Regions from separate parts of the Mus musculus genome. Here region 1 is reported to be linked to region 2. Evidence: microRNA targets listed by miRTarBase, many of them from high-throughput screens and not tested one by one. Region 2 holds a microRNA gene; the other region holds the end of a gene's coding sequence.
Evidence for each region. Region 2 holds the annotated microRNA mmu-miR-7213-3p (UACCUCAAGAGAGCCAGUCU, at 2,061-2,080, opposite strand). A microRNA usually pairs through its seed, bases 2 to 8, with sites in the 3' UTR of a target mRNA and lowers its output. Matches are read on the target gene's strand: a 7mer-m8 pairs with bases 2 to 8, a 7mer-A1 pairs with bases 2 to 7 and ends in A, and an 8mer does both.

Region 1 (3,395 bases), not on the chromosome of region 2:
CGGGGTGTGGGGGCAGCCGCTTCTCGCTCAGCCGCCTCTACGGCTCCCGGCGCAGCTGCCTGTGGCGCAGCCGGAGCGGGAGTGTCAACGAGGCGAGCTGCCCCACGGAGCAGACGCGTCTGTCGAGCCAGGCCAGCATGCGGGACAACGAGGAGGACGAGGACGAGGAGGAGGCCGGGCCACCGCCGCCCTACCAGGACGCCCTCTGCTTCCCTGTCCTCATCGTCCATCGGCAGGAGGGGTGTCTGGGCCACAGCCACCGGTCACTGCACCGCCATGGCTCCTGCGTGGAGACCTCACTGTGACCTCCTGCCTTTGGAGGGAGCCTGCGCCGCCGTTCTCCTTCCTGCCTCTCCTTGTGTTGTGCTCCCTGTGTGTAGCAGGGGAAGGCAGGATGGTGGCTAAGGCCAGGCAGGGTATGAGGGAAGGCAGGAGGTGAGGGGCACTCTCAGACAAGACCTCAGTGATCTGAGACTGCTTCCCTGTACACAGACAGAGGCTGGGAGATTGGCAGCTCTCTTAAGAATCCCATCCACCTGGGCAGAGGTGTTTCTCTCCCAGTCCTCACCGAGTTCCAGCAGGGGGGTACACCCCCTTTCCCATGCACACTCGAGATTTCCCTTCCAGGCTTTCATCGAGTCTTGACTGTTAGTATGTTGTGGGACCCGTTTCTGGCCTCCCAACCAAGGGAGCCATCATGGTGGGTACCAAGAAAGGCAAAGCACTTGGGGCTTTTTTTTTTTTTTTTTTTTGCCCTGGCTCCCCGTGGAGATGGGCGGTGGTTTGGTGAAGAGCAGCAGAGTTGGCTTCCAGCCAGCAACTGTGTTCCCGGGTCTGAGGGTGGGGCCAGATGGCAGCCCAGTATTCATCTCCATACCTTGAAAGAGTTCTGGCCTCTCGGCGCTGCCTCCCGCCGCCGCTGGGAAAGCCACACTCAGCACTGTTGTTTGTTTCACTTGAGCCCCAGAGGTCCGGTCCTGGAGGGACTTTTCCTCACACCAATGACGTCACTCACCTCGGGGCTTACCGGCTCTGAAGAGCTGTTGTCAGGGTGCAGGGCAAGGGAAGGGAGGCTGGGAGGGCTCCGCAGGCCTTTTCTGGAAAAGACTCAGTCTCCGGTCCATCAGCTGCTTCCTCCCCTAGGTTCTGGGTAGGTGCTTCCGTCAGGGAGGCCATCCTGGAGGTCCTCATTAAAGCCCGCCAGGGGTGAGTGAGTGAGCAAGTGGACAGAGCCTGAGACACACCCCGATGTCGAGAGACCTCAGGAGTAGAGTTAGTAATGGCTGGTAGACTGAGACTAGCCCTGGAGGGATGGCGATGGGCTGGCGTGCTGTAGCTTTTCCTCAGCAGGCAGTGGAGCAAACACTTAAGAAGGATGTCCCTCACACATGCCTCCATAGAGCCGAGTCCATCCCAAACCCTAGCTAGAGAGATACCCATTTCCAGTGGCAGGAGATCCGTTCTCACCAGACCCTCCACTTCTTCCTGTCCAGCGAGTTGAAGCTCTAGGTCTTCAGAGGGGCTCCATGACACAGCCCCGGGGCACCAGCCCTTTGTCCTGTCCCTTCAAAGCTCTGACACCAACTTTGCTCTCCCCTATACCCTCTTACCCCTCCACCCCAGTGTGCATGTCTGTGTTTGGCCCCTTGCTCTCCCAGCTGCCCTGGCTGACGTTTTCCCAGCAGACTTAGTACCCAGGGATTGGGCTCACATCCATCCAATCTTGCTCCCTCTGCTTCTTGCTTTGCCTTCACCAGCAGAACTCCATCTTTTTGGCTTTCCCTCTTCCTCCTGGCTGTGCCAGGCCTATGCCAACCAATGGGAGTGGCCCCTACCTATGCAAAAATCTCCTCTGGCTCCCTGTCCCCTTTTTCCCTGGGGAATGTGGGAAGCCCTGTTGTGGGGATGCCATGGTCTAGGGCTCAAATGGGGGCTGAGCTTTCTGGTTATACAGAGATGCTTGGGTGAGGAGGGAGGGGTGTCAGAGAAGGATAGGTTTGGGCAGAAGGGAGCAAGCACACCACTGGGTTTCCTGGGCAACAGTGTCCTCTGGCCACTTAGCACAGAACCCTCCAGGACCCTGAATTTGAGGTGTGTGTGTGTGTGTGTGTGTGTGTGTGTGTGTGTGTGTGTGTGTGTGGTGTTGACTATTGGAGCACAGGTACTGAGTGAGCTGTGGCCTCAGGCCTCAGTTCTTGGCCAACTGGTACCTGAATGTCTTGTTCTCATTTAGGGGCAGCTTGGCCATCTTACAGCTCCAAGGAGGGAAGGACTTGGCTCATCCTCTTTCATTCTGGGTCCAGAAACTGAGCTTGGCCTTGGGAGAGGAGGGGGTGGGGAAGCCCCGTTATTATTTTTGCCTGACCATTTCTGCCTAGGTCTCCTTGCACAGACAGCCTCACCTCCCACACACACACGCACAGACTTAGAGAGAAAGCAATTCTTTGGTTTCTTTTCTTGGTAGCTTTATTGATTGCCAGGGAAAATGAAAACCAGAAAATTAATTAATCTCTAAAATTAAACTTTACACTGAATGTTCTTGTTTCTCTAATTAGAACCTCTGCTAGCAGCTGTGGCTACACACACACACACACACACACACACACACAAACACAGAGAGAGATACAGATACACACACACACACACACACCCTCACACCTACATGTTTGCACTCTGGAACTGTCAGAGGGTGTCAGGCACAGAGGACTCTAGGCTGCCCCCGACAGGCACACACACAGTCACTCCCAAGCCCCCTCTGGTGCTCTACTCAGCGCCTGCTTCTTGCAAAGAGTCCCTGGAGTGCAGGCCCTCTTGGATTGCAGCTGCAGTCGCCCATCTTTGAGGTAGACGGGCACTGGGTCACTCAGCCCGAGGAGAGTTGGGAGATAAGAGTTTGAATTAGTCAGCCAAGATCCTCTCATGAATCCATAGTCTGTGATTCCTATGGGTGTGGCCCCATGGTGGGCAGTCACAGCGTGCCAGGGACTCAAGGAGAGGGTACCTGGAAGACTGTATGTCCTGAGGATAAGGGCTTGTGGGGTGGGCTAGGCCTGGCTCGGGAGAAGACAGGCCTCTGTCAAATTGGGTGCATCACACTGTGGCCTTTCTGTCATGGAATTCCAAGCGCAAAGATTGTACAAATCACACTGATGGATAATAAAAGTGTGGATGACTCACTGGTCTGCTCCCTCAGTGACACTTGTTCCCCATCCTTCTGCCCCCCGCCCCCCCCATTCCCGGTTTGAGGGTTAGTGAGGGCGCGATCTGTACAAGCAGACAACGTCAGGCAAGTAGCATCTCCAGGGAGGGTGGGAGGGTGAGGGAGACAGGCATAGTTCTGCTCTGTGTGTGTACACGCATATGTGTGTGTGTATGCATGTGTGCTCATGCATGTG
Region 2 (3,395 bases):
TGCTGGCTGGCCAGTGGTCCAGGAACCAGGCAGGACATGCAGAGGTCCTCGGGCTAAGTGCCAGGCTCTGGGGCCAGTCCACAGTCCACGTCCCCCGGCAAGGCTCCTGCACACTTGTTCCAGGTTCTTGGAGTCAAGAGAAGCCTGCAGCCTGGAGTGGAGTCCTTTGCATCTGGAGCTGCAGGGCGGGCTGAGGAATCGCTGCTGGTGGAGGTGGCCGGGCACACGGGGTGAGGGAAGCACCATTGGCCGTCCGAATCAGGCATCGAGACAGACGGACGAGGGGAACAACATTATCACTCCAAGGACCCCATGGGGGCAATACAGCAAATACCATATTAAATAACCCTGTGGGCAGAGAAGGATACAGCGTCAGAGGTAGCTCAAGGGTCCCCGTGGCCCCCATACCAAGGCAAGGGGCTAGGGCTCCTGCCACCATGCTGATTTCCAGCAGGTCCCAAGTCTGAGACGGAGGAGCTATGGGAAATTTGAGTGAGACAGGCACCCTGTTTCAGAGAGGTTGAGGCTCAGCTAGGCAGGAGCAAATGCCTCTGCTGGTTCTCACGGAGCCTGTCTAAGTCACAGCCAGGGAGTAGCTGAAAGCCAGGGAGTAGCTGAGGCTTGTTTTTTCTGGTTGGCTCCTCACCTGCCCACACTCTTGCCGACGCCCCTAGGCTCCGAGGGTCTCCTTCAGGGCCGCCTTGTCATGGGTGTGCTTAAACTTTCGGTGCTTGCCTTTGGGGGGCCGGCGGATTCTCACCGTCCGAATGGTCACCCGAGCTTGAGGCGTCTTGGCTGCTCGAGAAGAAGAAGAAGTAGTGTTTGTCAGCATCTGATAGCAATGGAGTGTTTTCCTTGTACCTTGGTGCCTGCTGGGAGGGAGCCTTGGGTATGGCTGAGGGAGAGGACAGACTTCACCAGGTCAAAGTTAATCCCCACAGCTCTCCAGCTCTGGGGACGTGACTGAGTCTTTCTATGCCTTCCCCTCTCTCTGGGAGTGAAGCAGGTGGACAGCCCACCTCATGGGAAGGAGAACGGATTACAAGGCAGCATGCCGGCCAAGCAGTGCCGGACCCAGGAAACTCTGTTTTGTGCCTGCCCCCTGCCCCCAAGTCCTCATCTCTACTCAGAGATGGATTTTCCCACTCCCTGAAGGTGGCCTGGCCCTGGATCCCTCTACCCAACAGGAAGTCCTATTGGCTCTGGGTACCCACCCATCTTCAGAGGACTGGCCCAGCTCTCCTTTGTGCTTCAAGCACCGTGTCTCACTACATGCCTGGAGAGGTCATGTGGGGACTGGGGCTCTTGAACCACAGTGTAGCTGCTGCCTCCAGCCACAGCCAGACGGCAGAAAAAATCTAGTCAGCTCTCCAAGGAGCCTCATTCTTGCACAGAACTGCAGGGTGAATGTCAGCCACAATACACCGTGAGTGGTGGCCTGTCACCCTGTGACCCTCTGCCTCCCATCTCTCCTACTGAGACCTATACCGCCAACCTCTGGCTCCTCTGGCCACAAGATGAGGAGGCCACCAGACTTTCTTTGGAGCTGTGCCTGTTGTTCAAATTCCTGGGCACTCAGAGAAGCAGAATGGAGGGCTGGGCTGGCAACTTAGTCAAGGAGTCAGCCCAGGTCCAAACCTGGGCTCTTCTTGATACTGTGTGCCATGGGGCAAGGCACTTAACCACTCTGAAAATCAGCAGTGACCTCCTACAGTTGAGACAGCGCATAAAGCAAGCAGGAACCCCAGTGAGCACCTGCAATGTCCCTGGCGCCACTACACACTCCTTTATTTCCATGGTTGGTCTTATTCATCCTACAGTGTTGGGGGAAACTGAGGCAGAGAGCTGTGTTTGAAATCCTGCAATCTATCTGTGCTTCATGCTGCCAGCACCTGGCTGAACTGACAGTTCCTGGGAATCCTGGACCAGACCGACTCTAACTGCTCTTCCTCCTGGGTTCTGAGAAGCCAGGTCAGACAGGCAGGGGACAGCACTTCCTGGGAGACACTGGAGAGTCCCTGGCCTCCAGCCGGTGAGGTTGGTACCTGTCTGTTCATCTCAGACTGGCTCTCTTGAGGTAGCCCCCCTTCCTTTCAGGCTACCTCAAGAGACCCAGTCTGAGATGAACGAAGTTTTCCTTGCAGGGTAGAGATCTGGGGGAGCTGAGATTCTCGGGGGGGGGGGGGGAATGACACCCAGAGGGGGCATGGAAACCACCCCCCAGAGAGCTTTTGCCCCAAAAGGCATGTGCAGGAGGCTGGGCTGCGCTAAGCCTGATCCAATTCACACAACTCACAAATGACACAGATTTGAGCCTAAGAATTCCAAAACACCAGCACTGGCCTAGGCTCTACTAGAGATGAACCTGGAGGCCAGTCCCGCAATATTCTTAACTTTCCGGTTCTAACACTTAAAGAGTTCTTCCTGCGTGGGGGCTGGAGAGGTGGCTCAGAAGGTGAAGAGCATTGGCTGCTCTTCCAGAGGACCCAAGTTCAATTCCCAGCACCCACAGGGCAGCTCCCAGTTGTCTACAACTCCAAGAGCTGACACCCTCACACAGACATACATGCAGGCAAAACACCAATGCACAGAAAATAAAAATAAATAAGTTAGCCAGACTGCCAGGCTGAGGTTGGACTATGTGACCGGAAATCTGAGCATCTTTAGACTTCGGGTACTTCCGCTACACAGAGAAAGGAGCCTCTGAGATGTTTCCAACTCAAACCGAACTGCCTGACCCTTGCAGAATCAGACATGCACTCCTCTGGTGGATGCGTGAACGTCAGACCCACTCTCCACATCCCAGCTGTATGGATGCTCAGCCTTTACTTGTGTATCTCCAGGAGATGTTGTGAGTGAAGGGGGCTGGTTGGTAGTGAGGCCAGGCGCTGCAACCTCATTTAGGGCCAAGAAGAATCTAGATTGTTCTCAGTGAGATCAAAAGTCTCAAATAAATTTAACCAGAAATAATGTATTTGCTCTCCATTTAAGTCTTTTCTGTGTGGTATATGTTTAGATCTCTCTCTCTCTCTCTCTCTCTCTCTCTCAGTGTGTATGTGCGTGTGTGTGCATGTGTGTATGAAGTCAGAGGTTGACATCAAGTCTTCCTATATTGTTTTCTGAGACAGGGACTCTTACTTAACCCGGAGCTAACCAACAGCTAGACTGGTCCCCTGGGATTCACCCATCTCCACCTTCTCAGTACCAGGGTGACAGGCACAGCTATCATGCCTTGGTTTTTATATGGATGCTGGTGTTTCAGACTCAGGTCTGCATGCGTGCTCAGCAAACACTCTACCCACCGAGCGCTCTCCCTAGCCTCCTGACCCCTATTTAGAGACCCGTCCTTTTCCCAGCTGTTATAAGGGAAAGAGGCTTGGGTTGAGCCACGTGGA

Region 1: miRTarBase lists Tmem151b as a target of mmu-miR-7213-3p. Seed matches in the 3' UTR shown: 7mer-m8 at 2,087-2,093 and 8mer at 2,839-2,846.

What each region holds. Positions count from the first base shown.
Region 1 is chr17:45,541,737-45,545,131 of GRCm38, reverse strand. Tmem151b (transmembrane protein 151B) reads left to right here. Exons shown (of 3, transcript NM_001013749.2): 3 at 1-3,192. The coding sequence ends at 305. It overlaps Tcte1 (t-complex-associated testis expressed 1), which reads right to left. Exons shown (of 5, transcript NM_013688.2): 5 at 2,453-3,395. Among named protein-coding and RNA genes, the nearest start is that of Tmem151b, 6.2 kb to the left of the region's middle.
Region 2 is chr15:79,996,910-80,000,304 of GRCm38, forward strand. It overlaps Mir7213 (microRNA 7213), which reads right to left and starts at 2,117; the gene lies at 2,061-2,117. It overlaps Pdgfb (platelet derived growth factor, B polypeptide), which reads right to left. Exons shown (of 7, transcript NM_011057.4): 6 at 647-795; 7 at 1-348. The coding sequence ends at 671.